Linked DNA regions of Macaca fascicularis. The protein of the gene in region 2 interacts with the protein of the main gene of each other region in a biochemical or structural test. Links are inferred from orthologs where the notes say so. Each region holds a gene or a part of one and is shown on either strand. Other genes may lie near its edges.

Region 1 (3,946 bases), on a different chromosome or scaffold from region 2:
AGGCCTTGTTGCAGCATTCATTGGGAGGCCACAGTTCTTCTGGCAACTCTGCTTCCTGACCTTTCACCCTCAGGAAGCAAGGCTGTTCACACAGCACACACATGCCAGACGGGGTCCTCTGAAGCCACGGCTGCCAGTGCATGTGTCCCAGGGAAAGCTTTTTCCTTTAGTTCTCACACAACAGAGCTGCTTGGAAGCCCTCCCTGGCGAAGGTGCTGGTGGCTCTGCCTTGCTCAGTCCCTGATCCGTTCTCACCTCCTTCTTTGCCATCAGGAGGACAGTGTTTCTCAGAGCAGTTCTGATGCTGGCCTGGGCAGCGACCATGAGAGTGACACGCTGACCATCGGTAAGGACTCTGGGGTTTCTTATTCAGGTGGTGCCTGAGCTTCCCCCAGCTGGGCAGAGTGGAGGCAGAGGAGGAGAGGTGCAGAGGCTGGTGGCGCTGACTCAAGGTTTGCTGCTGGGCTGGGGCTGGGTGGCTGTGGGGGCGGGTGCAGCTTGGTGGTGGGTTGGCCTAATGCTTGCTGGGGTGCCTGGGGCTCAGTCTGGGAGCTAGCAGGGCAGTGTCCCAGAGAGCTGAGATGACTGGGATTTGGGGAATCCCTTAGGGGAGTGGACACTGAATACCGGGGATGAGGAGCTGAGGGCCAAGCCAGTGGGCTGGGATTTGAGTCTAGTATATAAGAAGAGTGAGAGCCCAGGAGATCAGGCACAGCCTTCCAGATTTTTCTTGGGTAGCGTGTGTAGGAGGCCAGTGTCACCAGTAGCATATGTGGAACAGAAGTCTTGACCCTTGCCATCTCTGCTGAGTCCTAATGGCTGGCTTTTCCCAGGAAGCCTTCTGCTTCCATGAACTGTTAGATTAACCCTCTATTTAGGTAAATGAGGGAGCCTACTTTTCAAGTATAGGAAAGGGTGAAGAATCTTCTAAGATTCCTTTACTCAAGTTTTCTGTTGAAGAATCCCAGAGCTTAGGCAATAGACACCAGACTTTGAGCCTCAGTTATCCATCCACCCATCCATCCACCTACCCACCCATCCTCGCATCCACCCATCCACCCATCCACCCATCCTACACTGAGTACCTACAATGTGCCTGGCTTTGGTGATACAAAGGTGAATAAGACATAGTCCTTTCCTTTGCCCCCAACCCTCAGACCAGAGATGAACATGTGGAATGATTAAAATACCTGGAACAGGTGTGGTGTATGAGCAGCAGGCTTCTGAGGAGAGGGTGGGGGATGGCCAGCCCTCACTCTGGAGCCCCTCTGCATTGATTGAGCCATCTTTGCATTCTGGTCCCTGCAGATGTCTCTGCTATCTCCAATCTCATCAGGAAGCATGTGTCTGAAGCCCGGCTGGTGGAAGACATAGGGCATGAGCTGACCTACGTGCTGCCATATGAAGCTGCTAAGGAGGGGGCCTTTGTGGAACTCTTTCATGAGATTGATGACCGGCTCTCAGACCTGGGCATTTCTAGTTATGGCATCTCAGAGACGACCCTGGAAGAAGTAAGTTAAGTGGCTGACTGTCGGAATATATAGCAAGGCCAAATGTCCTAAGGCCAGGCCAGTAGCCTGCACTGGGAGCAGGATTATCATGGAGTTAGTCATTGGGTTTTTAGGTCATTGACATCTGAGTAATGTTGACTCCAGTTAGCCATTTAAGATGGTGGTGGGAGACAGCAGGAAAGAAGTATTTTCCTCTGTACCACAGTACATGCCTGAGATTTATTTGTATGTTGAAAACAGTGGTACCTAACAGATTTACATCCCAACCTTAAACTCCTATCCACTTATTTATGTTTTAATGAGCCTCTTTACTCAAGTACAGTGTGAGGACCAGCAGCATCAGGATCACCTGGGAACTTGTTAGAAATTCAGCAACTTGGGCCCAGCTCAGACCTACTGAATCAGAATCAGGAGCAATTCCCTGGTGTGACTGTGTCACAGCCAGGTATCAACTGGATTCTCATACATAGGAAATGACCAACATTTATGAATGGATAGTCTACTTATGCGAGGTGCTGAGATTTGTTTTTTTTTTTTTTAAATCACTGTGACCTCATTTAATTCTCATAAAAAGATGAAAAAATGAACACTCAGGAATGTTGACATGAGATTCAGAATCAGGGATTTGGGGCTTCAAAGCCCATCCTCTCTTTATCCATGTAATGCCTCCCCTTAGAGATCCAACATCACAGACCTTGAGGGCTGAAGGGGATATAAAAGCTGTCTGGCTCAGTGGTCTCCAAGTTTGACAGTGCAGCAGAATCACCTGGGGATGTTACTAAAAGTAAACATTCTAAGGTTTGGCTTCAGGGCCTGTGCATCAGAATTTCTGGAGGTAAGGCCTTGAAGTCTGTACTTCCGTTGCATGCTTCGGACACAGTGGTCTATAGACTCAAGTTTGGAAATTATTGCGCTCATTCAGATTCTCTTCTGATGTTTGAATCTCTGCCATCGTATTTCTAGTGCTCTATTTCCTCCTGCTCATTCTGTATTGGATAACTTGTCATAGTGCTAGCCTACTCAAAGATTTAGAGCCACAGTCCTGAAAGAAGCCACTTGACTCATTCCCTGTAGGTTCAGAACAAATTTCTTCTGCTGCAGTGTCCTACTGTCATAGCTTTTTTTTTTTTTTTTTTTTTTTTGATGAGATGGGAGTTTTGCTCTTACGCCCAGGCTGGAGTACAGTGGTGCGATCTTGGCTCACTACAACCTCTACCTCCCGGGTTCAAGTGATTCTCCTGCCTCAGCCTCCCGAGTAGCTGGAATTACAAGAATGTGCTACCACGCCTGGCTAATTTTGTATTTTTAGTAGAGACGGGTTTTCTCCATGTTGGTCAGGCTGGTCTCGAACTCCCGACCTCAGGTGATCAGCCCGCCTCGGCCTCCCAATGTGCTGGGATTATAGGCATGAGCCATCGCGCCCAGCCATAGCTTTAATTTAAAAATGATTGTCTAGATTGATAGCTCTCACCACTGAGGAAATGTTCTCTGGCAAAAACGGCTTCTCTCCCAAGTGACTCTGACAAAGTGTTATTAAGAAATGTGGCTTCTACTTTCTCTGTCTTAAGGGGCTAACATGCCACTCAATAATGTAATAATCATGGCAGTGATGACTGCTTTCGTAATGTTGGTGCTTATAATGTTCTCACCTGCTCTCATTTTGCAGATATTCCTCAAGGTGGCTGAAGAGAGTGGGGTGGATGCTGAGACCTCAGGTAACTGCCTTGAGGGGGAATGGCACACTTAAGATAGTGCCTCCAGCTGGCTTTCTCAGAGCATGAGTATTGTTCCTTTCCCTTTGAATTGTTCTATTGCATTCTCATTTGGAGAGTGTAGGTTTGTTGCAGATGGGGGAAGTTTGTTTTGTTGTAAATAAAATAAAGTATGGGATTCTTTCCTTGTGCCTTCAGATGGTACCTTGCCAGCAAGACGAAACAGGCGGGCCTTCGGGGACAAGCAGAGCTGTCTTCGCCCGTTCACTGAAGATGATGCTGTTGATCCAAATGATTCTGACGTAGACCCAGGTATGTTAGGGCAAGATCAATCAGTGTCCCACTGTTTGAATGTGAAATTCTCTCTCATGCTCCCAGCTGTTTTCTTGGGATGGCCTTTAGCCAAGGTGATAGATCCCTACAGAGACCAAAGAGATGTGAGGAAATGATAAAAGCCCCTTGTTCTTTGCAGCGTTGTGCATGTGATCAAACCTGAAAGAGCCCATCCATATCACTTCCTTTAAAGACGTAAAGATGGTGCCTCAATCCTCTGAACCCATGTATTTATTATCTTTTCTGCAGGGTCCTAGTTTCTTGTATATATTAGGTGTTTAATTGTTGAACAAATATTCTTTCAAGTAGATGAATTATTTTGAAAGAGTCAGAAAGGGGAATTTGCTGTTAGAGTTAATTGTACCCTAAGACTTATATATTTGAGGCCGG
Region 2 (3,946 bases):
ACACATAGAAACCCTTTAAAGACTCTGAAGTGTTGAGTTCACATTTAATGTTAACCTGTAGAAACAGCCCTTTATTTGAACACCTTTACACAATGGCAGGCCTCAAGGACCCATCCCTTTGCTCTACAACTCTCCACAGCAATTCTCCATCACTGTGCCAGTTTCACAAACTTGCTTTGGTTTCCTAGCTCCATGCGTACTGTTTCCTTTTACTTTACCAAGGCAATGCAAGGCCAAACAAAAATCAAGAGGCTTTCCTAAACCTTCTTACATTTTGTGTTACAGGCAACACAATCTTAAAACTGGCCATTTTTGTTTCATTTGCTGCTTAAAATAAAAATTATAAATTAGATTTAAATGGAGCGCTAATTATAAAACAGATTGCAAGTACCACCATTTGCAAAAAAAAAAAAAAAAATCGGGATTTCCATAACACAGAGAATGCATGGACATGCAACCACAGTAGAGTTAAAAATTTCCTGTGACTAAAAAATTAAAAACTGAATCACCAGTAGGAAATGTATAGTCAATGGCTATGACAAGAACAGATCCTGCCGAGCTCATAAAATGCAATTATTGTCTTTTTTGCTTTATAAAAAAGACATTACCTATTTTATTGCATTATTCTCTTAATAAAAACATACTACCACATAGTACCCCCCATCCCCATTCTTTGCTTCCAGATTTTTATAGAAAATAACTGTTTTAATCTGGCCTTGGAAAGTGAACCCACCAGCACCACCTTCACCTACTCACTCTTCAATTCAATATGCACATAGCAAAAGCCAACACTTCAAATCTCTTACCCACATCAAAAAAAAGTAGTTTCAGGAGAAAAACATTAATACCAGTTGAATAAAAATAAGGGCATAAAAGCTATGAGAGAGATAGCTCTGCCATCTGTCTCTGGGCTAAAATCAAGGCTAACTATTGCCTTGCACACAGTTCAGTCATGTATATGAAATCCAAAAATAAACCTACAATCTATACAAAAACAACACAGGTTTGTTTTTGTAGCCTTGATTGCTATGTTTAAAAACCTAACAAGTTTTATATGGTATGAATTCAACAGTCTCCTTTATATTCTGTACAGTGGTTCTTTCCCTCTAACCACAAGTTCCATTACTTCATTAATGTACAAATTTGAACATAATTTTTTGAGTTCTTCTTTATATATAAAAATAGTCAAAATATTAATTTCCCCTGCAAGTATCTTCCAATAAATCTTGCTGTCTTCCCCCCTTTTTTTGTCCACAGTGCTTATGAGGAAACTTCTCGTACAATGATGAGTTCAACTGTATTCTGGAAAGTTTTTAGCAAGGACACTGCTTGTCCATGTTCAATATTTATAAAACTGTAGCCATTAGCCTGGAAGAAAGAGGAAAAATGCTTTTAGGAAAAACATTTTATAGTAATTTATTTGCATTTCTGCCAAGTAGTTCACAAACCTGTAAGAAAATAAGAATCACTTTGGCAACTTAGAATAACATGTAGATTCACAGGCCCTACCCAAACCAAGGAATAAAGTCTCTGAAGATGGGGTCTAGAAATGTGTGTTTTGTCCAACTTTTCAGACAATTCTCATGTAGCAGTTCAATGTTAGGAATCACTAAGAAATAATGTCAGACATGGTGCTGTATAATGCTAATGTGCGTCTGAGGTGACCAAACTGTAGCACAGCAAGGGGCAAGGGCTAGCCTTCCGATTGTCTTGAAGCCATCACATCAAGACCACCATATTTCTTACAATTAAGGTTAATATTTACTGAGGTTCTACTGTGTACCAAATACACAATTCTAAGTGTGTAATATGAATTAGATCCTTTGAGTCTCATAATGCTCAAAAAAGATTCTTTCACCATCTTATTTTAGAGAAGAGAAAGCCCAGGCATGGAGAGGTAAAGTAACTTGCTCGGTCACAAATTGAAACTACAGATTCCCAAATGGTTCAGGAAAATAAACGCGTATAACTGTATGAGTGTATGAGTGAGTGTGACTCTCTCTCTGTGTGTGTGTGTGTGTGTGTATAGACGGAGGGAGAAAAGCAGAAGAAAGAGGAGAATAAACGCTAAAGACAATGTAGCAAATTATGAACAACTGGTGACCAAATGATGTAATATTGGTGTTTATTGTACTATTTTTGTGGCTTTTCTCTAAGCTTGAAATTATTTAAATTTTTTTTTTTAATTAATTTTATTTTTAAAAAGTGTTGGAACCAGAATTTAAACTCGGGAAGTCTGGTTTTCAGAATCTGTACTTTCAGCTACTAGATATTAATGTCTCTCTCTTTTTTTTTTTCTTGGTTTGAGGGTTATTTTTTAGTTCTTTAGTTCTCAACTAAGAACAGTGATGGTAGGGGTAGAAAATGAGAGCTAGACTTGTGTCCTAGGCTTGTCTTCTTCTAAGACTGCAAGTGTTTACGTAAAATGAGTAGCTGAAAGAACAAAGAAAAGGAAGGGACAGGAAAAAATGAGTTTCTCAGATTTAAAAATTTTCTTCTCCATTTCTGAAAGGCCAATAGCCCACATCCAAGAAGTAGTACTCTAATCCCCCTCAAATTAGTAAAAATTAACATTCCTGAGCTTAAACAAAATCCTATGATGTATCAAACTTTTTTTTTTTGAGACTGAGTCTCGCTCTGTCGCCCAGGTTGGAGTAGAGTGGCGTGATCTCAGGTCACTGCAAGCTCCGCCTCCCGGGTTCATGCCATTCTCCTGCCTCAGCCTCCCACGATTTTCAAAGTTGAAGTGAAAACATTTTAAACTATGAAAACATTAGAGTGTTATAAAATGAAAAACAAAGATTTATTTTAATTACCTGAATAATTTTATCACCTGGCTGCAGTAATTTTGATGCTGGTCCTTCAGGCTGTACCCTTGTTACAAATATACCCTTTAATAACAAAAAAAAATTGTTTATTTAACTAAAAACAGTATGTATAAATAACAGAGTACCAAGGAGCAACTTCTCCTCCACACCATGCAAATATTTCAATCACGGTACAAGTTTTCTCCCTGACTTCTCTGAGTAATACTGTAACAAACTAGCTATTTTTACCTCTAGTAATTCTGACTTCAGTGATTTCTCTTGAGAGTAATAAAATTGCTTTTATAGATGTGTGAAAAAGCAATAAGAAAATTAAAGATCACTTGATAATATCACAAACATTCATAGTTTTTGGTTAAATTGTTTTAACTTGAACTGATCAAATTACAAAACAAAAAGGTAAGCAATAGAGTGGGGAATCAAGGTGATGTCTACCTAGATTTACATAAACATCTACTAGATTTTCACTTACATATAAGTATTGAATCAGCAAATAAAACTTTATAGGTGTTTCAAGAATATACAAAGAAAACTTACATCATCATCAGGTCTGAATGGGTTTCCTCTACCCCCGACACCACCTGATATGCTAAATCCAAGTTCTGGATCCTTTTCAACCCTCACTCGAATCTGAGTTAATATGAAAATAAAGGAAACTTACTATTTCAGAAAAAGTTATAATGCCACAACATCTATATTTAAATACTGATGGGTTAAGTCCAAGCAAACATAAACATAAGAATTCATCAAAAATAAACATTTGGTCAGATGAAGTGAAATACAACATAGAATATTATGTTAATGAGTTAGTGAGTTAAAGGCAGAGCTGAGATTATATAAAGCATAGCTCCTAATTTTATTGCTTGTCTTATAAGGATAGGAATCAATTAAAATTGACCCTGTTTTACTTTTTAGACATCATAGATTTTAATGCCATAGTATATAAACACAAAACATGTATATTATTATCAGTTTCCACTTGTGGGACATCTAAATTACACAGTATCTCTGTTTAGTGGCTTGTTTCGTAAGATATCTAAATGATCCACTGGTGGTTTTGTGATACTAACTCTTCATTTACTGAATCTGTTTAAAGGCTTCAAAAGAGGTAGGATTTTAAA
Region 3 (4,723 bases), on a different chromosome or scaffold from region 2:
ATGTTCACCTCTTTTTTACTACAAATGTGGAGAGGTTTTTTTTTTCCAATCAAGGCACCATATTAACATTTCTTAGGTTACATCTTTGTAATCTTCAAATATAGTAAGATAAAAACCGGTAGCAAAGCGTATCACTCAACTTAAAATTCAGAATACTGAGACATATGCAGCTTGCACACACATTAATCTGTTTCTCTCAACAAAATATTTGTAATTTCCAAAATCCTATCAGCTTTTTCACACAATATGGTCCCTCCAATTTGAGGGGCAGTAACGTAAACATAGTCTCCTTACTAAAAAGATTAGTCTTAAAAAAGTAAAATCACCAAAAGAAAGAATGTAAGAATATCAGTGGCTATAAGCTAGAGCAATATCATGTTTTAAAGCCTTATATGTTCATGAAATCTCACTTTAAGAAGGTGATATCTAAATACAAAATATATTGGCAAAACAATTAGTATTGACAAACTAGCACAAAATGATTTTAAATGAAAGTAGAAGACATTATTAAAGCTGAAGATTTTTGTGTGTACTGATTTCATGCCTCAGGTTATTTCCATATCAAATTTAAAGAGATACTGGAAAATAGAAAACAAAATCCATCAACTGTAATCCATTTCCCTTACTCTTCTGTGAAATCATCAGAAGGCGTGAAGGACCGTTTCTATTTCCTCTATCTTTATCAAGCCAGTAACCTCTCAAGCGAAAGAACATGCACCTGTCAAGCTCATCGTGCAGGATGTACACACAGATGTGTTTAATAAATATCTGCCCACAGGGAGATTAGAGGTTTGCTTTGAGAATCAGGGAACAGGCTAGCTCATGTGTTGACGCTTTGGCATCTATCATACAATCCGCCACCTTGTTTCCCTACCAAAATAACCTCAAAGGAAATCCTCTTTGAGTCTTCTTTGAGAAGTGTTATAAGTTTGAAGACCCAAAACGTTGAGGCAAGATCCACCTCAGGGAAGGGGGAGTGGCTGGGGAGAACAGCGTAAGTAGGATTTAGGTGGCTCAGTGACGTCAGGAGGAAGCAGCGATGGAAGGGATGGGGTGCAGACTCACCTGGAGAAGCAGAAGCTGCACACATGTCAAAGGTCAAAGGGCATAGCCTCAGGGACTCCCCACACGCAGGAAAAGTGAAACGCCCATTCCTGGGCTCTCACCGTCAGGGGTACGTCTAAGGGCTCAGCTGTTCCTACCTTTGATACCAGGGACAAACCCTACCAGGCACAGTTGGGGTTGGCAGTAAGGCAAAGGAAAACCTGCCCCAGATTTCAGAGCCAGCGCTGGGGAATCTCCCTGTCCTCTCCGCCACCCCCTCCCGCGCCCGAGACCTGAGACACCTTCAGCCTCACACCCACCTTCTCCAGGCCCTCTTGCGCTGAACAGCATCGGTCTCTATGGCGACCTGAAACCGCAGCTCCCATTGGCCCGTTCAATATGAGGGCCGGGCCAATGGGGAGGGCCAGCCCTCTCCTTCCCGCCAATGGGGTGGCGGGAGCTGGCCCGGGGACGGCGGCGTGCTGACGTTCCCGGGAGCCCGGGGCTGGCCGGGCGGGAGGGCTGGCGGCCGGGCGGGCGGCGGCGGCGGCCTCTGGGCAGTAGAGGGGGCTCCGGGGCTGAGTCCGCGTCGACGCCGGCCGCGGAGGCGGCACCATGGGCAAGGGGTAGAGGGGCAAGTTGGCCACCGCCGCCGCCGGGGGTGGTGGGAGAGCCGCTCCGGGGGAGGGGGCGGGTGGGGGAGGGAGGGGCGGGCAGCCGCGCGGCCGCGGCACTTTTTTAATTTTTGCGGGTGCCGCAGCGGCGACCCCTCGGCGCCGATGTCCCTGATCCCTGGAGCGACGACGGCCGCAGCCTAAGCTGGAAAGTAAGTGTGTGGGCTCGCGGGAGGGCGCGGAGACTCCTGCCCACGAGACCCTCGGCCCTCGCCCCGAACACGCGCCGGGGCCGGGACCTGCGCACCGGGGGCTGGGGGCCTCCCTCCCGCTGCCCCGTCCCCAGCGCCTGGCGGCCGCCGCGGCTTTCCTGCCCCGCCTCGTGTTCCTGCCCGCACTCGCCTGCTGCTCCCCTCCCCCCGGCAGGCGCACAAGTTTCACCCTCCATTTGCTTTTCCCGGCGATTCCTCTCCCTGGTCTCCCGTACGCGCCGCGCACGACCTCTGCCTACGCTGGGCTGTGTGGATCAGGAGCCCCCAGCCCCGAACTTGAGCGCCGCGCTGAGCCTTGCTGGACGCCCTCGCGGCGGCTTCCCCGCTGCCTGCCGCCCCGCGGCCCCTGCGCCCCCGACACCACAGGACGCCCGCCCTCCTCAGCCCTCGGGGCTGGCTGGCTGTCGTTGCAGCCCCAGATCCTGCACCTTGGCCCCCTCCCCGTCTTCCCACGCCCCTGCTGCCCGCGCGGTCTTGCGTTTGTCCCCGAAGTCCTGCACTCCTTGCCGGTCCTGCCCACCCCCTCTGCCCAGTGCGCCCCTCTCTACTGGCCGCGGATCCTCACGCTCCACCCCTCCCGGCTTCCCAGCCCGGAGCCTCGCCGCTGCCCTCCTGCGCCGCCGCTTCCTCCTCTCCCTGCCAGGAGTTGAAGCGGAGCTGCGGCACCTCCCTGGCGGATCTGGTATCCCCCCCACCGGCTGCTGAGGCTGCCGGCCCTCTCCCCTGGACCGCCACCCGAAGAGCGAGCGGCGGGGCCGGGATTTGGCTGCGTGTTGGCTGAGTGCGACACACCGCGAGCGCGGGCAGTGGAGGCGCCGCGGCGGCCGTGGCCGCTCGGGGCGCAGCGGTAGTCAGGTGTGTGTGTACAGCGGGGGACGCGCGCTGCCGGCTCCTGGGCTGGCGACTGATTGTGCAGGAATGCGAGGAATGCACCAGGGGCAGAGTCCACACAGCCCGCCGCGGCTGCACTAGCGCCTTCCCTCCCCAGCTCTCGCCGCGCAGCCAGAGGTCACCGGAGCATCTTCGGAGCTGGTGAGCCTCATTCCTCTCCTCTTCTCCCATTGCTTCCCTCCATGCGGCAGAGGGGAAGCGCGGTAATTCTTTGGGGCTCCAGCTAGCATTTCGTCTGGGTTTTTGCTTCATTGGTCTTCAGAACCGTGAATTTGGGGCCAATGACTCTGTAGCCAAGGTTATTGATCATTGCACAAGGCTGTTTGCAAGTTTGGTGTGCAAGGTTTGGATAGTACCTGGTTTTTACCAGGGTTTTCTGAAAACCAGCAGGAACAGGGGACCTGAAGGTTCTTAGAGTAATGAGCTTGGGGCCAACATATTTTAGCTCTATCAAAAAAATGCGTGTTAGTGCTTATGGACGGGCATGTACTGCAAGAGAGATCTTGAATGCATCACTTTGGTATCCTAAGAAGTGTAATTTTTTCCCTCGTCATACTGGTCGGTGTTTAGACCTCGTATAATACATAATGAATAGAAACAGAGAAGCACTGTTTGGTCAGCGATGGGACAGATAGAACTGTCTGGTACAGTTAAATTCGGGGCGTGTCAGTTACCATTGAACTGACACGGGGACACCACAATCATGTATATTTCAAGATGTTATTTATTAGTGGAGGTCTCAGTTCTTTGTTACTGAGTTTGACTGAAAAAAAAATGCTGCCCTACAACTTTTAAAGAACGGTAATTATTTACGTGTAAAATCAATGATGGTCAGTATGCATTTTTGGTCAAATTTTGTTTTCCTTAATACGGGAGAGCAAAATTTTGACAGAAAATGGTTCGCGAGAATTGAGCTTAGATTCTTTTTATTTTAAAAGAGAAACTAGAAGAATGCTTGTCTTCTTGAATGCAGTATATTGCTGTGAGAGTATCTTCGTTTTGGTGCCTGTAAAACAGTTATGGAAAATAGCAACATGAAAACGAGAACAACTAATGTCTGAAATAAGTGTTTCCGGATGTTGAAAAGCATCGTATGTGTGTTTTTATTTGACACAATTTGCTTGGAAGGTTGCATTTATGACAAACCTCTATGCACCTGGTTATTTTATGTCAGATTCAGTAAAGTCAGATTCATAATAAGTCAGTTGTCTGACCAATCCGCTTTCTTCCAACACCTACTTTGTGTAGATCAAGGACATCGAAAACTATCAAATAGGAACCTTTAGTTAAGGACTCAACAGAAAGGAAAAAAAATAGAAAAAAAATATTTTGCACTCAGAAAGATTTATCTTTTGGTTGCTACGTTGTTTTTCAGCTGTGTGCATAATCAGTGAATCTTCTAATTTAGAGGTTTAATTTGTGTCCAGTAACACTATGGAGGATATTGGGAGGTGTTTGTAAATGCTAACAGGAAACTTTTATTATGTAACAATATCATATTACAGCAGAGTTTAACCCATGCTTAACCCGTGCTTATTTGACTTGATGTCAAGATGAGGAAGTAAAAGCAAATTTAGTTTCCCTGCCGCATTAGAAATTGAAAACCCTCTTCAGATGTATGGATCACACACACACACACACACACACACACACACACAATTGGCTGTGCAAATAGTTTTGCCTGCTTCAGTTAAAGGTAACCTTTCGATTAGAAATGCTTTCTATTTGTTACAGATATTTGAAGAGAGGAAGTTTTTCAACTAGTGATCCTACACAATTGAAAATAACCGAAATCATATTTTGACCAAAGTACATTCCCTCCCCACCCCCTACTATTATGTAAGGAGAGGGTGCTGCATCTGGCGTCTTATATATTATACTGAAGAGTCTAAGTTGGAGAAG
Region 4 (3,946 bases), on a different chromosome or scaffold from region 2:
TCAGTGGGACCACCAGGCTTCCCTTGTGTACTCTCTGCAGGTCCCACAGTGTAGATGGGGAAGGTTGGACCTGGGCCCCCAACCCTGGGCCCCGTCAACCATGTGACCCAGGGCAGCCCAGCCTCCTTGGCTCCCAGCTTCCCTGCCTGCCTGTTGGGGGCTGTGCAGATGTCCTCTGGCCTCCATGATGGGCTGCTGTGGGTGTACAGAGAGCCTTCAGCTGGGGCAGGAGTTGAGATGGTACCCCAGTCCGCCCCACCCACCTTTGGCCTTCTTGCCACCAAAGCAGCTGGCATCATCCCGCCTCCGGCGCTGGGAGACTACAGCACTGCCCAGGGGCCCGGGCTCGGCCTCCTGGTACCTATCGGCCCCGGGCACCTCCTTGTGCACGTGGTAGGACAGGTTCCGCATGATGCACACGCAGTTCTCCACCGACTGCAGGGAGAGGTGAGTGGCTGGGGCAGGGCACCCTAGGCACAGGGCCAGCCCTCAGGAAAGACTGGCCACAGGTGGTGTGCATGAAGGCACCAGGAGCAAAGGGACAGGGAGGCCTCAGTCGGGGGGACAAAAGGGCGGTAACCACCAGGGAGGGTCCATGGGAGGAAGCCCCTGCCTCATGGAGCATCTTCTGCCTGCAGGACAGTGCCTACTTCAGTGTGGTCACTGTGAGGCAGGCCATGCCCAGAACGCCGCCCCAGACCCACAAACCCATTCCCCTGTGCTGTTCCCACAGTTCCAGCCTCCCGGGACCCGCATGATCGTCTCTCCAGCCCTTGGTATGAGGCTGTGACCGTCCCTGCCCACCTTGTTGTCCGTGTCCTTCCGGCCCACTGCCGACTGCAGGGCATGCAGGAGCGCGTCCACCAGCCCTTCACACTCCCGGAGTCGCCGCCGGGCCTCAGCACCATCAGAGCTCACATTCCTGTGTGGCCAAGAGCAGGTCAGGTGACCCCTGGCTATCACAAACTCCCCAGCCCCACTCTGGCCTCATGGGCTTGTCTTCATCTGCAAAACAGGCCTTGCTGCTGCCCTCCTAGCACTATTGGGAAAGGACGCCACAGCCTGGAGCTCAGCGAAGTGGGAGAAGCGAACTGCCCCCGGCCTCAGGAGGGGAGCCCTGGCAGACAGCTGTCTTGGCTGGGGAAGCTGGGCAGGGGAAGACAGGGCTTTCCTGCCTCCCAGCTGACCTAGAAAGGGACAGGTAGACTCAGAGAGACCTGAACCTATGCATAGGCAATTCTGGGTCCCTCGCCACCCCAATGGCAGCTCTAGGCCCCACCTTACCCCAAGGTCAAGAGCCTGCAGGGCTGCGGGGGAACACCCTGATGGACAAGCAAGACTGTGGGGACCCAGGACTCTGTGGAGTCAGCAGGGCTTCCCAGGGGTAGGAGGGGAAGGGCAGAGGTCACAGGTGGCTGGTATGAGGCTCCCAGGCAGATGAACAGGGAGGTCCCAGCTCCCCTCTGGCTGTCAAGTGATGGGAAGGTAGGTGAGAGCTAAGCAGGGCTATGGTACCACACAGACCCCTCCAGAGGGTGCCCCTGGGAAGACTAGGGCACCACTTGGGGGTGAGTACAGCCCCATCAGGCCCCACTTCTCATCCACAGGACTTGTGCCACAGCTCTGAAGCTCCCAGGCTCTGGTGCTCCTAAGCTTGCTGCCATCTTCCACACTATCTGGGACCACAAGGACAGGGCCTGGTGTGCTTGAGGCTTTAGCACCAGGCCTGGTCCACACCTCAGGCAGCCCGACGTATTCTTGAAGACAGTTGTCCACTCAGCATCCCGTGGCTTGGAGTCCTCGTTGGGCTCACGCTCCCATCCTGAGTGGGGCACGATCACCTCATGGGTCAGTGTCTGCAGGCCATGGTCAATGATGACCATCTTCAGGGGCTCATATGACGACAGGTTCCACAGTGTGCCTGTGGGGTGCGATTGGCCAACCCGTGCTGACCATATGCACCGCCCGCCTACCTCCCCAGGTGGCCACGCCCAGGACCTGTCCCACTCTCCTCATGTCCCAGCTCACACAGAACAGTAGGAAGTAACAAAAGCCGTGAGTGGTTCTGAGGGACACTAGTACTGGTTTCCAGCTAGGAAGGAACCCCAAAGGGGAGGAGGTGCAGAGAAGGGTGTGGCAGTACTGTCCCGTCCCACCCATTCCCTGCCACACGGCAGGTGGCACTAACACTCCTGAGGCCACAGGGCCTCACAGAGACACGGTCAGGTGACCCTACCTGTCCCTCAGGTCCCACAAGGCACAAGCCCCACCACTGCACTGTTGGGGTGGGAACCAAGGAGGCAGGTCCCAGGGGAGTTTCTGTGGGGGCAGGAGGTGAGGGGACATGCCTGAGGGGCCCACTGTCAGCCTCCTGCCTATGGTAGAGACTGGGGAGCCTGTCACAGCATCTGGGCCTGATGACTGGCTCCTGGGGCAAGCGTCTCAGTGGCTGCACTCCTGCCCACCGGGCACTCTCCCAGGCGGTCGCAGGCCGTGTGGCCTCGTTCCTCCCGTGCTGAGCCTCGCACTCTTCTCTTCCCAGGGGATGTGGGCATGGCCAGGTCCCACTCACCAGTGACAAGCTCGCGGACCTCGTTGTCCCGGGCGGCCCGCAGCAGGCGCACCAGGGCAGGCACACCACCACAGTCCCGGATGGCGGCCTTGTTGTCAGTGTCACGGCCATAGGAGAGGTTGCGCAGTGCCCCACAGGCCCGGCGCCGCACCTCAGCCCGCGGGTGGTCCAGCAGCGCCACAAGCAGTGGCAGCCCCCGCAGCTGCCGTACACGCCGCTTGACACCCTCGTTCTCAAAGCACAGATGTTGCAGGTAGGCGGCCGCATTGGCCTTCACGGGGTCCACGGGGTGCCGCAGCATGGCCAGCACCTCAGGCAGCTCAGGGTCCCGCCAGCGCGGCTCCTTGCGGGCGCTATCCACTGAGGGCGAGCGCTGCACCAGCCGGTCCAGGCTGCCCAGGCTGCCCCGTTCAGGCTGGGCCAGGGGCGCCGTCACCGCTGGGAACGCAGGCCGTTCATCTGTCAGCTCGCCGCCATCAACTGCCGCGTCCTCGTAGGCCCTGCACAGGCAAGTGGGGTGCGTGGACATCGTCACAGCAGCCGCCAGCCCCGCCTCTGAGCTGCCCCATGACACCTTCTTCAGGACTGCAAACTCACCCAGCAGGGCTGGGCTGAGAGCACCTGCATCTCCGCCCGAAGCATGGTGGGGACACAGAGAGTCATGCACCAGCCCAGTGAGAACCAATTCACAGCCAAATGCCAAACCCCAGCCAGAGGCTATCAGGACCCAGGCAACCCTCCCAGGACAGCAAGCTCACTCACTGCTGTCACCAGGCAGTGTTCCCCGATCCCAAGCAAAACATGTTTCTGTGCGATATGTGCTAGGGCTGCTGGAGAGACCCACCTCCCTTCCACGAAACCACCCCATCTTCCATGAGGCCCATCTCTGGCTGTGTCAGGATGGAGAGGGGGTAGATGGCTCTCTCCACATGAAGCCATCCCAGTAGGACCACCCGAGGGGTGTTCAGGCCACCAGGCCCTTGGGGCACAAGATCTCCTTAACTCTCAGTAGCCCTGTGGTTTGCTGTCATCAAACCCACTGCCCTGAGGCTAGGAGTGGTCAGGTGACTTGGCCAGGGTCACACAACAGAATCCAGACCCGGGCTGTGGTCATGTCCCCACTCCAGAGATGCAGAAACTGAGGGCAATGGGGACAGAATCATGGGCTGTGACAAGGGCCAGGGCTCTGGGTTCTGGTTACCCAGAGTGTGGATGAGCAAGGCCGGTGGTCGGCACTCTTCCCAGCTTTTCCTAGGCCCTGGGCCTGCAGGATGGTGTCCAGCCGAACTCCTACCACCCCAGGGTCCACCTTTCTTCTCTCCCTGACAAGAGCCAAGGCCAATTCAAACTAACGTACATGACTAACTCAACTGC
Region 5 (3,946 bases), on a different chromosome or scaffold from region 2:
AGAGGTTGGCACATGGGTGTGCTGGAATGGCATAGGGAGAATGCACCGAGTTTGTTTGCTTGGGAGAGGGGCAGGGGGCATCCAGAAGATTCAGGATTCGTCATCGCCTCTCTTGGGGGATTTTTACCCCTTGGCCCTGAGTTGTGCCTTTGGGACAAAGGAAGCCTTTCTTTGCCAGCCAACACCCTGTACTGGCGGGTGAGCTCCACAGGGCTGGCACGCTGGGGCAGCCTCTGGATGCACAGGGTGGGCCTAGTCAGAAGGCGCCTTTCCCCTGAAATCCCTCTACTTCCCAAGCACACAAGCTTTCTCCTGCTGTTAAACCTGCAGTGTGCAAGGGATGTCGGCGGAGGGGTCCTTCAGTCAGCCTTCTCCCTGTCTGAGATGAAATGACTCTGGGAGTGAGTTTGGGTGGGGAGGCCAGGTCCAAGAAGGTCCCCCGCCCGTGTCCTCTGACCCATCTGCTCCCTCCTGCCAGTGTGCACCGGCACAGACATGAAGCTGCGGCTCCCTGCCAGTCCCGAGACCCACCTGGACATGCTCCGCCACCTCTACCAGGGCTGCCAGGTGGTGCAGGGTAACCTGGAACTCACCTACCTGCCCACCAATGCCAGCCTCTCCTTCCTGCAGGTGAGGCCCGTGGGCAACCCAGCCAGGCCCTGCCTCCAGCTGGGCTGAGCCCTCTGTTTACAGGTGGGTGGCAGAAGAAGGTGCCCTGCCCTTTGTTTCCTCTTTTGTTGTGGTTTCTCAACCAGGAAGTCCTTTCTAACGTCTAACCCCCATTCATTTTACTGCAGAATCAGTTGACTCTCTCTCTAATGTGGCTGGCCGAGGTCATCTCTGGATGGGATGCGTCTGTGTTTCCGCTAAATCTTGTGCTCTCTTGCCAGCATGATCATGTCCCCCGTCCACCTGCCCCAGCCACTATCCTTCTCCCATCTACAGCAGCAGAAAGGGCTGGTGAGAAAGGTGGATTACAGGCCCAGTTCTGCCACTGATGAGCCCTATGAATGTGGCCTACACCCCCTTAGCTTCACGGGGTCTCAGTTTCCCTATCTGTATATTGGGAGCAATTGTGAAGCTCAAAAGAGAAATGTCTATGAAAAGATTATGAGCAGGAGAGAGTGGAAACCAACCTGCTGGGTTGTGTCCATGGACCCTGGAGTGGGGCCATGTGCTTGGTTTGTCAAATTGCAGACGCCGGCTGAGCATGGTGGCTCACGCCTGTAATCCCAGCACTTTGGGAGGCTGAGGTGGACAGATCACCTGAGGTCGGGAGTTCGAGACCAGCCTGACCAACATGGAGCAACCCCGTCTCTAATAAAAATATAAAATTAGCTGGGAGTGGTAGCACATGCCTATAATTCCAGCTACTTGGGAAGGCTGAGGCAGGAGAATCGCTTGAACCTGGGAGGCGGAGGTTGCAGTGAGCCGAGATCATGCCATTGTACTCCAGCCTGGGCAACAAGAGCGAAACTCCGTCTCAAAAAAAAAAAAAAAATTGCAGACGCCATCCCATCCAGGCCTTTGCTTTCACTGATGAAGAAACTGAGATGCAGAGAGGGCGGGGTACCTGTTCAGAGTTTACGAAGTGCCCCCCCACCATTATCTTTCTTGATCGTGTAAGAATCTGGTGAGGCAAGGTGGGGCGTGATCTTTATCTCCATTTTATCGTTTTATATAAGAGGGAACAGGACTGCTCAGTGGCTGGGGGCCTTGCCCAAGATCTCCAAGTACTGGGGAACCTCAGGGAGGCCCTGGGGGTGGCAGTGTCCCTGTTTCAGCCCCACCCTGCTTCCCCCTTCCAGGATATCCAGGAGGTGCAGGGCTACGTGCTCATCGCTCACAACCAAGTGAGGCAGGTCCCACTGCAGAGGCTGCGGATTGTGCGAGGCACCCAGCTCTTTGAGGACAACTATGCCCTGGCCGTGCTAGACAATGGAGACCCGCTGAACAATACCACCCCTGTCACAGGGGCCTCCCCAGGAGGCCTGCGGGAGCTGCAGCTTCGAAGCCTCACAGGTGGCCTTCGCCGTCATTGAAACCTTCTCTTGGTTATTCAGAGCTGACCAGGGCCACTGCTAACCATGGGGAGGCTTTGTGTGCATTAGAAATGGTGTCCCTTCTGGGCAGACGCAGGCAGAGCCTGGGAAGACACCCTGAGAAGACTGGAAAAAATTCCCCTTCTTCCTAGGAAGCTGCAGCTTACGTCAGCGCACAGAATTCAATCATGAGAATGCAGGCTGGGTTTTTGCCCCCACTTGGCTGAGTGAAGTGTACAGTGAACAGCCTATGTAACTGTTTGCTGGCCCTGGAGCTGACTCTGCCCCAGAGTCTGGGTGCCAGGTGCTTTGCCCGCATGGCCCATTTCAGTCACACTGCAGTCCTGTCAGGAAAGAATCAGTGTTATTCTCATTTTACGTATGAGAAAACTGAGGCTTGCAGAGATGTGAGTGATGGGGCTGGGTTTCAGACTCCACGGTCTCTTAACCACCAAGCAACATGTCCGGAGTAGAGGTGAGAGGGAAGGAGAAAGCTGCGGTCCACGTGAGCATCTGGACGTAGCATGGACAACTCACTCCTCCCTGGCTCTCGCTTTGTTCATGTTGCGGGGGTGGTGGTGGTGGGCTCAAAGACGGTGACGATATCTTTCTCTCCTCCCTGGGGAATCTGGGGTTGTATAAAAGGCCTGCTCCTCTTTTAGAAGGCAGGAGGGCCCCAAGGGAAGCAGAAGGTGACAGAAGGGGAAAGGGTCCCCTGATCATTGCTCACCCCACAGAGATCTTGAAAGGAGGGGTCTTGATCCAGCGGAACCCCCAGCTCTGCTACCAGGACACGATTTTGTGGAAGGACATCTTCCATAAGAACAACCAGCTGGCTCTCACACTGATCGACACCAACCGCTCTCGGGCCTGTAAGCCATGCCCCTCCCTGCTGCCTCTTCTCTCAGACAGCCTGACCCCAGCCCCAGACTCCCGACTTACAACCCAGTGCCTGCCCGCCACTGCCCCAGCCGCCTACACCCATTTCCTCCCTCTCTGTCCCTCCTGCCATCTCTCTGGGCCTCTTCATCTCTGGGGTTCTCTGTCCTGTCTTCCTCTGCTTCTAGGCTGTGCCTGTGGTTTGGGGGCCTCTCAGCCTGTCTGGGTCCCTCCTTCACTGTGCAGTTGGCCTCGTGGCCTCTGCTGCTGTTTGTGTCTCTCTCCGTTATTAACCCGTCCTCTCACTGTTAGACATCTCTCTCACTGCCTCTCCCTGGTTCTGTCCTCAGGCCACCCCTGTTCTCCAGTGTGTAAGGGCTCCCGCTGCTGGGGAGAGAGTTCTGAGGATTGTCAGAGCCGTGAGTCTCAGGGAGGCCTGGAGTCAGGGAAGGGGAGGGCCAGGACCGGGGCTGGGTGGAATGCAGGTGTCATACGGGTGACATGGGAGGGGTGGGATAACAGGCTTGGGATGTCTTCCCTGGGGCAGGTAGTCTCCCTAGAAGGTGATGCTGATGAGGGTCTGGTGCTCAGGGTGCCACTCAGCCTTCATCCTGCCCTTTGCCCAACAGTGACGCGCACTGTCTGTGCCGGTGGCTGTGCCCGCTGCAAGGGGCCACTGCCCACTGACTGCTGCCATGAGCAGTGTGCTGCCGGCTGCACGGGCCCCAAGCACTCTGACTGCCTGGTATGTGCCTCTGCTGTGTGCCCAATGTGCCCTATCCCCCAGGATGCAAGGGGTGGGCACCCTGCCTGGTACTGCCCTATTGCCCCAGCACAGCAGGGCAAAACAGAACAGTGACAACCAGCTACCTGTCCTCCCAGGCCTGCCTCCACTTCAACCACAGCGGCATCTGTGAACTGCACTGCCCAGCCCTGGTCACCTACAACACAGACACCTTTGAGTCCATGCCCAACCCCGAGGGCCGGTATACATTCGGCGCCAGCTGTGTGACCGCCTGTCCCTG
Region 6 (3,946 bases), on a different chromosome or scaffold from region 2:
CCTTGGCAGATGGCTTTGAAAGCAGTGGTCACCCCAAAGAGGAGCCCACAAAAGTCTGCTTTGATGGTCTGTCTTGTCCTCGATTTGGCAGTGGCTGGCCCTCAATATTCAAGCCCAGTAAGGAGGCGGGGTTGAATATATACCACACATATGCAACCTCCATGGGCAAGGCTGATCTCCCTGGCACTTAAGAACCACATATACCTGACAAGATGGCAGTTTAAAAGCACAAGGTAACCTGGCAACAACTGAGAAATATTCTTACCAGCACTTAATTGCTTCAAAGGGACCCTTTTAACAAAGAAACTGGTTGGATTCTAGAACTAAATCAAGGGTTCTTTTGGGCCAAAAGGGAGAAGGATCAAAGTTTATGCAATTCACCCATATCCTTTCCATTTTCTTAATCATCATTAAAAAAAAAAAAAAAAAAGGAAAGGAAGGGAAGACAAAGACAAAAAAGAACCTTGGAGAGGTTTGACTGGAAGGGCAGAAAGAGTTAGAGGCCTATAGGCCTTTAGGTGTAAGTTTTCAAAGTGGGAGAATTGAAAAACAATCATACTACTGGCGGATTTTAGACATTCCATCTCTACCTCAACATATTTCACTTGGGGATATTTGTCTCCCTCTGAACCCTCAACTTAGCTTATAAATGGCACAGACTTTTAGGACAAAATCCAGAATTCAGGAGATGAACATCAGGGGAGAATGTGGGGTGGGGTGATGCCAAGAGGATTGTCATCATTTCTTTAAAAATGACAAGTGACTATCAAGGAGTAAATTCTACCATGACCTGCCTGGGGTTTGACTGGGCCCCGCTGCAAACCCCAAGTCAAAGTTAAGTTGAAATCCTTGTAAGTCTGTGCTCTTGCCTCTTCGTGGTCAGGTGGGGGTTCACACACACTGCTGTTTACACAGCAGTTGACATGACGATGAAAAGTCCCATCATCACCTCATAGATGCGACAGGCGAAAATGGAAATAGGGAAAATAGGGATGAGAGTCAGAGAAAGAAAATTCAAACCGATGTCTCTAGGCTCTGTAGAGAGCTGTCCGACTGTGGGAGCTGCGCTTGGTTGCAGTCCACTGCATTGTTGTTTGTATTGGCGTATGGAGTGACCTCACCATCCAACAGGAGCACCCCAGTCCCAAACTTAGAAGCCTTGTCAGGATTTTCCTCCTCTTCCTTATCCAGGAGTGGTGTTCGCGGCAACTCCTCATCTATGGCGAATTCAGGGTGGGTCATGAAGTTGTGGATGGAGTTTTGGTTGTAGGGTTTCTGAATGGTTTCGTGGAGGGAACTATGGAACGCTTTGACCACTTTGATCTATACCAGGGGAAGGAAAAGGAGGATGAGAAAATAGGGAGGTGAGAATTGGCTGGCAGAACAAGGAGATGGTGGTTTTAGGAGAGAAACAAAACCCAAACTATAGAACATGACTGCTCAGCAACCAAAACCAAACACACATCAGAGGAGATCATGGGGCACTAGAAACATCACACGGCTCAACTTTCAAGCAGTGGGGTGGGCTGGGGTGAGTGATGGCAAACAACTAGGACATTTTGAAAGCTGCATTTAAAGAAGTAGAAAACCCAAAGCAACGTTAGCATTCCCAAACAATCTACTTTTAAAATGAAACAGAAAACAAGAAGTTTCATTAGTTCTTTTAGATGGAGGGCAAGGGCATGGGAACTAGATGCAAATTGATAGCCAAACTTAAAAAGATGATTCAGACATGTGGATTTCTGTGCTGAGGCCAAACATTTTGTGAATGGGGAATGAAAAAATTATGCATTGAGGTTTAGTTATCTGTTTAAGGACCTCAAAGAGCCAGCATACACCAATCTGCACATAATACACGTTGGGTGACGAGTGACCACGAATACTGTGCAGCCAGGCAGACAAACCAGTCTTCATTTGTGTCAGCAGCATGCAGGAACTTAAAACTCTCCAGTAATAATTTGCCCTTTCAGCCAGGAAACATGCATATTTTTACATCCCACGACCACCACTGTGTCCCCTCCCAGCAAATAACAGAACTTCACTCCTTCAGCCCCTTCCCTAGAAGAAGTGGATAAAATACAGGTGTCAAAAGATGCTTTCCTCCTGCCTATTGAGAAAAGACCTGGCTCTCATGATTCAAATGCACGTTCATGTCTCTGATACACAGCAATGGTGCCCAATCATGCTGCTTTCTCCAGCTGTTTCCAAATTGTGAAGAGGAGCGTAGTCTTATGTGGAGAAGGGAATGAAAGGGACCAGTGAGAGAAACCTAACTCAGGAGGCAGTGCTACAAACAAGTGGCCTTTCTGATGGGGTGGGTGAAGAGGATGATGGAAAGGAAACCATGTGCAGTTTGTGCGGTTTTACTGGGCAAAAGGAGATGCATTGCCCAGTGTCATAGTCTCTGTCCTACTGTGCAAAAAGGAAGGGATTCGGTCAGTTCAGAGTCATGAAGAAAAAACTGACAATAATTGATTCCTGTGAACAGCTTTTGCTTGTCCACAGGCACCAGCAATTTTGGCAGCTCTGCTTTTCTGAACTGTAGGTCTCTCTGAGGCATGGCTTAGAATCATGGTTGGTAGAATTGGGGTAGAGGGAGAGGGTTGGAGCTCCAAGAAGTTAGAGAGAGGGGCCAGGGGAAAGGTAAATGGTTATAGGACAGTTTTAGTTGTTGGAAGGTGGCTGATCCTAGTCTTGTCCCAAAAATCTTCACTCAGAAAAGAAATGGGAGTAATGTGGGGGAAATTGTTGAGGTTGGGGGGGTAGGAGTGATGAAGGTGAGAGTAAGGTACCTCTTTCATTCCTCTGCTGTTTAAGCAAAAAGTATATCCCAGGAGAATAGGCAAGAATTTGGAGACAGCAGAGGATACAAAGAGTCAGCCAAATTAACTGTTTGGATTACCTGTTTCAGTGCTTCCTACCACCATACAGAACTTTCATAAATACCACTCAAAGGCGGCTCACTATCAATACTGCTGGTCTATTTTCTCTGGAGGAGAATGTGTCTCTGCTGGCTAAGGCTTTCTTTATCTTGCCCCACTCTACTACAGCCCACCCAGGACTGAGGGTGCTCAAAGCTCAGAAGGCAAAGGACTCCTTGCCACTCAATAGCATCAGCTCAGTACCTCAGCTAAGAGGAATCAGGGAGCATAGGCACACACTCACCATGCTGAACAGAAAGTGAGGACCACATTTTTATTATCTGATTCCTATTTGACCATCTGATGGGGGAATTTTACCTGTCATGTTGCCTTTGCTCCAGATCTAGGTGAGATCAGATGGAATGGGGGCTCCATCTGGTCTTCAGGAAGTCTCAAGTTTTCATTGATCTACATAAAATCTCAGAGCAAGGCAATTTGGATTAAGTGAGTCCAAACCCAATGCCTTCTCCTTTGGCCCTGGCACAGATACACTGGCCAAGAGATGGGTCCAAAGCCATCCCACCCCATCAAAGCCGTCACTGTCAGGAGTGATGACATAGCTCACATTTTCCATATGCTTTCAAGATCTCAAAATTTCTACCAGCTATCACAGGAGGGCAGGTGCCTTTATCCACCAGTACATTATCTTCAATATCAGTGAGTTTCAACTTCCTGCTTCCATTCAATTGAATACTTTATGAAAAAATTACATGTGAAGTCCACTATAGAAAATAAATTTGCAACAATTGGGGTTGGAGTGAGGGTCTGGAGCCCTGTTTGTTGGCTTTTCCTCTCACCTGTTGCGGTGACCAATAATACTGTTACAGGTAAACAATGAGGGAGATAAAAGTGAATTGGGGATGGGTAGATGGAAAAAATACGGGAAACATCTTTTGGGGAGCAAGAAACAGTCATCCAGCTAGACTGCAGGACTTCTGGAATCTAAAGGGAAACCAGCCACCTGTAAGGAAGCTCATGTGAAGAGGGGTCAGAGAGCTAGGGGTGACCAGCTGGCTTGCTGGGTG
Region 7 (4,598 bases), on a different chromosome or scaffold from region 2:
TCCAATGAGAGGAGTAGCTAGAAGCAGTAAGCTCCTCAAATCAAGATCACCTGGAGCACGTGAACCCTCACCACCACCCACACACCCAGTGTTTCCAGTTTTACTGAATCAGTCCGGAGCGGATGCTGGAGAGTCTGCATCTCTTACAATCTCCCAAGTGATGCTGATGCTGCCGCTCTGAGTACCATGCTTTGAGAACAGCTGCCCTAAAGCACAGTAAAAGTTGTTACACATGCATCATCTCCAACTGCAGGCACTTTAAGAACTTCCCTTGAGAAACTCCAGCCTGCCAGAACAGGGGGTGCCTTCTCCATGCATTTCCAACAAGCACCTGAACTGGAAGCAGCTCAGTACAGCAGCTCCAAAGAGGCTGGGGAGCCAGTCTGCCCAGCTTTGGAGCCTGCTCTGACACTTGATTGCAGTGTGAGTCCAGGCAACTTACTCAACTACTCTCAGCTTAAGTGTCCTCACAGTAAAATAGAGGTACTAGCTCCTTCCCCTCCATCAGGGAAACCGGAAATGAACACCTGCTCCAGTCCTCAATGGGAAGGCATCACTTCCTATTTCCCTACCACCTAAATTTTGAAAATGTAGGGGGAGAAAATGTAAGGAGGCAGGGCTCACATCTGTAATCCTGGCACTTTGGGTGGCCAAAGCGGGAGAAACACTTGAGCCCAGGAGTTCAAGACCAGCCTGAGCAACAAATTAGAGAGCCCCATCTCTACAAAAAAACTGTTTTTTAAATTATCCAGGCATGGTGACACACACCTGGAGCCCCAGCTACTCAGGAAGCTGAGGCAGGAGGATTGCTTTGGCCCAGGAGTTGGAGGCTGCAGCAAGCTACGAATGTGTCACTGCACTCCAGCCTGGGTCACAGCTTGCACAAAGCAAGATCCTGTCTCAAAAAAAAAAAAAAAAAAAAAAAGTTCCTTGCCCTGCCTGAAGTTGAGGAGACCATTTGTCTACTTCAAGTTATTATTTACAGAAACCACACCCATATTGCTTCCTCCTCCATGCGCCTCTCGCCTCAAGAGAAAGGCCGCCAACCCAGAGGGTCCTACACTCACTGAGTGTATCACAATCGAAACAAGAGTAAGCGACCCATCCTCTTGGAATCCCCTAGGTCAAGCTTGTCCAATCTGAGGCCCGTGGGCTGCATGTGGCCCAACACAAATTCGTAAGCTTTCTTAAAACATCATGAGATTTGTTTGCGATTTTTTTTTTTTTTTTTAGCTCATCAGCTGTCATTAGTGTTAGGATATCATTAGTGTTAGTGTATTTTATGTATGGCCCAAGACAATTCTTCCAGTGTGGCCCAGGGAACCCAAAAGATTGGAGACCCCCACCCTAGGCTGTCCCATAATAAAAGGCAATATCAACATGTGGGAAAGATGAGGCAGCAGAAGTCAAGAAACAGAAGATCTAATAATCAACCAAGTGAGATTGAAGCCCTTCAAAGGTTCAGGCTTATGTAGTTAGCAGATGGAATTCCCGCCCCTCAAGACAGAGTCTCACTCTGTCACCCAGGCTGGAGTGCAGTGGTGCAATCTCAGCTCACTGCAACCTCCACTTCCTGAGCTCAAGCAATTCTCCTACCTCAGCCTCCCTAGTAGCTGGGATTACAGGCGTGCTCCACCACACCCAGCTAATTTTTGTATTTTTAGTAGAGACAGGGTCTCACCATGTTGGCCAGGCTGGTCTCGAACTCCTGACCTCGTGATCCACCCGCCTCTGCCCCTCAAAGTGCTGGGATACAGGCGTGAGCCACTGCGCCAGGCCAAGATGGAAGTTTCAGGTACAACTATCACCTGAGTCTTTCTCCACCTGTTTCCTTGCAGAAAATGGGTAGGGCTGTGGGCCCTCCCAGCTCAGGAGCCCTGGGGTGGTTTTAAGATGCTAGAACTCCTGGTAGGAACCACCTGCATCAAGTCCATGGATCACCTCTCTGAAGGTTAGCGATTCCAGGGACCCCACCCCGGCGCAGTCCTCCTAGGTGGAAGTGAAAATACTGGAAACAGGGAAAGAAGTTGGTCAAAGACAGACTCCAGTCGTGGCGGTGTATGTACCAGTTAAAAGCAAAACTTGGAAAATCTTGTTCAATAACAGAGTCCTCATTCATAAATAAAAAAATAATAGTGTTTTTTACCCACATGAAACTTGCCATAACTAGGTACCACGACCCACATGGACACACAGTGAGATTCACACACAGACAGGAGAGCCCTGGTCACTGAGACAAACGATACAGAGACATCGGGACACAGAGAGACACAACGGGACGTGGAGGTGGATCCAGCTGTCTCGTAAGGAATATCGGAAGGGGTGGGGGACACTATTGGGAGATGGCATAGGTCCAGGACACTAATTAGGCTTTGGCTGAGATTAGATAAAGGAAGCTGTTCGTAAGCTGCTTACTTAAAAGGAAAGGAAAAGGTGCGTTTGAGTTCAGGAGACTGTGAGTCTCGGAGCAGGAGGTGGCAGCCAGCGAAGAGTGGGCGTGTAATGGGTGCAGTCGCTTCTCCCGCTGGACAAGAGACTCCCCCTTTCGGCAGCCTGGGTTCCCCGCCTCCCCACCTCCCGCTCCTCCTCCCCGGAGCCCTAAGGGCCCGCAGGGCCTCCAGCAGCAAAGCCGCTGGCCCCGCGCCACCAGCGCCGGGTCCACGCGTCCCCGCGTCCCCCTGCCCCGCGCACAGGGGCGCAGGCGGGGACCATGCGGCCGGCGTGGGGCGGCGCCACCGCAGCAGAAAGCCCGGCGTGGACCGCATGGCACAGGAAAGCGCTCCCCTCGCCCCCAGCCGCAGAAGGCTGGGGCAGCATCGAGCGCGGCCCCGGGAGAGCGCGTCAGCGGGGCCAACGGCTGCAGGGTGACCTGTTTCGGGCGGGGACACTCACCAGAAGAACACACGCGAGCAGAGGTTCGCGCCCTGCAGCGGGTTGGGCTTCACCTCCTGGTACACTGGCAGCATCTTGCCGGGCGTGGGGGGCGCGGGCCGGGGTCGCGCTGATCAGGCGGCGGTGGCCGCGGGCTCCCCTCCTGGACCGTGAGCAGAGATGCTGGAGCTCCCGCCGCCTCGCCGGTCTGCTCGGCAGGAGCCTGTGAAGCAGCCGTTTCCGGGAGCCGGGCGCCGGCGGCACGCCCAGTCCCCGCCTCTCAGGCCCGCCGCTACCAGGGCCGCCTCGGGGGCGCCCGTTACGCGCCGCCGCCTGGAGCCCGGGAGCCGCGCACCGCGTGCGAGCTCGGCCGGGACCGACGGGTGACGCGGCGGGAGGAGACGCGGCGAGAGGAGGCGAAGCTGGCGACGCCAAAGGGAGCCCAGAGCCACGCCCAGGGGTGAGGCGAGGGCCGCCCGCGCGGCTGGATGGAGAGGGTAGCCGAGCGCACGGCGCGGAGCCCGGGTCCTGAGGTGCCCACGTGCTCGCACCCGAGTGAAACTTCCCGAAATTCACTATCCGAGTCTAGGCGCCGACCCAGAAGGTGGAGCAGGGAGGCGTCGGCTGTGCCCGCCCCTGCGACGCAGAAACGCCCCCTCGGGCACGGATTTGGGGAGACTGGGAGACAGCTGCCTCGTGCTCCACCAGACCGCCCCCTGGGCGCCTTGCCCTTCTCAGGACCAAACGCGGGTGCCATGGGAGGCTCTCCAACCTGTGAGCCAAACATTTGACCTCGGACGACAGCAAAGTTTAGCACAGATTATCCTTGTAGAGCTGCAAGACCTCAAGAAAGCCGGGTAACTCGAGAGTAGGACCCAGATGAATTTGGGAGATGGATGAATGCTGTCGTCGATGGGGCGGGCTTTCGACGGGGCGGGCTTTCGGCATCTCACACGTTGCGTGGTACTGTGGACCTCTGAGCTTTTTGCTGCCCTCTTAGATTGGGAAAGGAATGTAAGAGGAAAGAGAGACTGCCTTATGATTTCTGTCATCAAGCCCTAAAGCCTAACAGATAACAGTGGCAAACGACACATGTGTTCCAGAAGACCAATTATGTTTATGTGCATTTCTGAGTGCGTAGTCTCACTTGTGTGTGTGTGTGTGTGGCAGTCTCACACACAGTGACTCGATTATGGCTCATTGCACCCTGGACCTCCCAGGGCTCAAACAATCCTCCCAACTCAGCCTAAGTAGCTAGGACTACAGGCACCCGCCGCCACGCCTGGCTAATATTTTGTAATTTTTGTAGAGATGCAAAAATCAAAATCAAAGGCTCTAAGTTCAAATATTGATAATTTTTGAAGCCAAATGATGTGTCATGGGAGTTTATTTTCTTCATATTTCATGCATGTTTGAGAATTTGGTTTTCTTTGTAACAAGATCATTTTATTGTTCCTTGATAATTTCTCACTTTGTTGCCCAGGCTGGTCTCAAACTCCTAGGCTCAAGTGATCCTCCTTCCGTGGCCTCCCAAAGTGCTAGGATTACAGACATGTACCACCACACCCGACCAATTATCTCACTTTTAATTCTATCAGTGCCACATTCAAGGTTATTCTTATTTTATAGATGAGGAAGGTGAAGCTGAAAGGCAGAACTTGTCCAGGGTCTTAGAGCCAAGAAAGGATTAAACATGATTTACATTAAGCCTGTGCCTAAGCATGGCC

What was found.
Region 1: the proteins of ERBIN (region 2) and ABCA1 interact in a test that uses a peptide from one of them, tested with the Homo sapiens proteins (2 studies listed by BioGRID and IntAct). The link is inferred for Macaca fascicularis from reciprocal best matches to the Homo sapiens genes ERBIN and ABCA1.
Region 3: the proteins of ERBIN (region 2) and PKP4 form a complex in vitro, tested with the Homo sapiens proteins (4 studies listed by BioGRID and IntAct, with this or other methods). The link is inferred for Macaca fascicularis from reciprocal best matches to the Homo sapiens genes ERBIN and PKP4.
Region 4: the proteins of ERBIN (region 2) and ARVCF interact in a test that uses a peptide from one of them, tested with the Homo sapiens proteins (3 studies listed by BioGRID and IntAct, with this or other methods). The link is inferred for Macaca fascicularis from reciprocal best matches to the Homo sapiens genes ERBIN and ARVCF.
Region 5: the proteins of ERBIN (region 2) and ERBB2 form a complex in vitro, tested with the Homo sapiens proteins (4 studies listed by BioGRID and IntAct, with this or other methods). The link is inferred for Macaca fascicularis from reciprocal best matches to the Homo sapiens genes ERBIN and ERBB2.
Region 6: the proteins of ERBIN (region 2) and ATP2B4 interact in a test that uses a peptide from one of them, tested with the Homo sapiens proteins (2 studies listed by BioGRID and IntAct). The link is inferred for Macaca fascicularis from reciprocal best matches to the Homo sapiens genes ERBIN and ATP2B4.
Region 7: the proteins of ERBIN (region 2) and ABCC4 interact in a test that uses a peptide from one of them, tested with the Homo sapiens proteins (2 studies listed by BioGRID and IntAct). The link is inferred for Macaca fascicularis from reciprocal best matches to the Homo sapiens genes ERBIN and ABCC4.

Annotation. Positions count from the first base shown.
Region 1 is NC_088389.1:53,299,931-53,303,876, forward strand, and holds part of ABCA1 (phospholipid-transporting ATPase ABCA1), read left to right. Parts: intron 1-273; coding exon of another isoform or gene 274-346; exon of another isoform or gene 347-373; coding exon 374-452; intron 453-1,308; coding exon 1,309-1,511; intron 1,512-3,177; coding exon 3,178-3,226; intron 3,227-3,421; coding exon 3,422-3,535; intron 3,536-3,946. UniProt on the Homo sapiens protein: Catalyzes the translocation of specific phospholipids from the cytoplasmic to the extracellular/lumenal leaflet of membrane coupled to the hydrolysis of ATP.
Region 2 is NC_088380.1:71,776,455-71,780,400, reverse strand, and holds part of ERBIN (erbin), read right to left. Parts: intron 3,456-3,946; coding exon 3,363-3,455; intron 2,892-3,362; coding exon 2,817-2,891; intron 1,369-2,816; coding exon 1,261-1,368; 3' UTR 1-1,260. UniProt on the Homo sapiens protein: Acts as an adapter for the receptor ERBB2, in epithelia. By binding the unphosphorylated 'Tyr-1248' of receptor ERBB2, it may contribute to stabilize this unphosphorylated state.
Region 3 is NC_088386.1:53,923,978-53,928,700, forward strand, and holds the start of PKP4 (plakophilin-4), read left to right. Parts: upstream 1-1,661; 5' UTR 1,662-1,870; intron 1,871-2,120; exon of another isoform or gene 2,121-2,962; intron 2,963-4,723. Other genes in the region: CCDC148 (coiled-coil domain-containing protein 148), read right to left, coding at 1,365-1,661. UniProt on the Homo sapiens protein: Plays a role as a regulator of Rho activity during cytokinesis. May play a role in junctional plaques.
Region 4 is NC_088384.1:32,853,118-32,857,063, reverse strand, and holds part of ARVCF (splicing regulator ARVCF), read right to left. Parts: intron 3,194-3,946; coding exon of another isoform or gene 3,073-3,193; coding exon 2,573-3,072; intron 1,922-2,572; coding exon 1,738-1,921; intron 923-1,737; coding exon 805-922; intron 436-804; coding exon 264-435; intron 1-263. UniProt on the Homo sapiens protein: Contributes to the regulation of alternative splicing of pre-mRNAs.
Region 5 is NC_088390.1:60,768,381-60,772,326, forward strand, and holds part of ERBB2 (receptor tyrosine-protein kinase erbB-2), read left to right. Parts: intron 1-478; coding exon 479-630; exon of another isoform or gene 631-693; intron 694-1,808; coding exon 1,809-2,022; intron 2,023-2,779; coding exon 2,780-2,914; intron 2,915-3,271; coding exon 3,272-3,340; intron 3,341-3,550; coding exon 3,551-3,666; intron 3,667-3,803; coding exon 3,804-3,945; intron 3,946-3,946. UniProt on the Homo sapiens protein: Protein tyrosine kinase that is part of several cell surface receptor complexes, but that apparently needs a coreceptor for ligand binding. Essential component of a neuregulin-receptor complex, although neuregulins do not interact with it alone.
Region 6 is NC_088375.1:61,563,154-61,567,099, reverse strand, and holds part of ATP2B4 (plasma membrane calcium-transporting ATPase 4), read right to left. Parts: intron 1,324-3,946; coding exon 1,015-1,323; 3' UTR 1-1,014. UniProt on the Homo sapiens protein: Calcium/calmodulin-regulated and magnesium-dependent enzyme that catalyzes the hydrolysis of ATP coupled with the transport of calcium out of the cell. By regulating sperm cell calcium homeostasis, may play a role in sperm motility.
Region 7 is NC_088391.1:86,239,690-86,244,287, forward strand, and holds the start of ABCC4 (ATP-binding cassette sub-family C member 4), read right to left. Parts: upstream 3,086-4,598; 5' UTR 2,967-3,085; coding exon 2,893-2,966; intron 1-2,892. UniProt on the Homo sapiens protein: ATP-dependent transporter of the ATP-binding cassette (ABC) family that actively extrudes physiological compounds and xenobiotics from cells.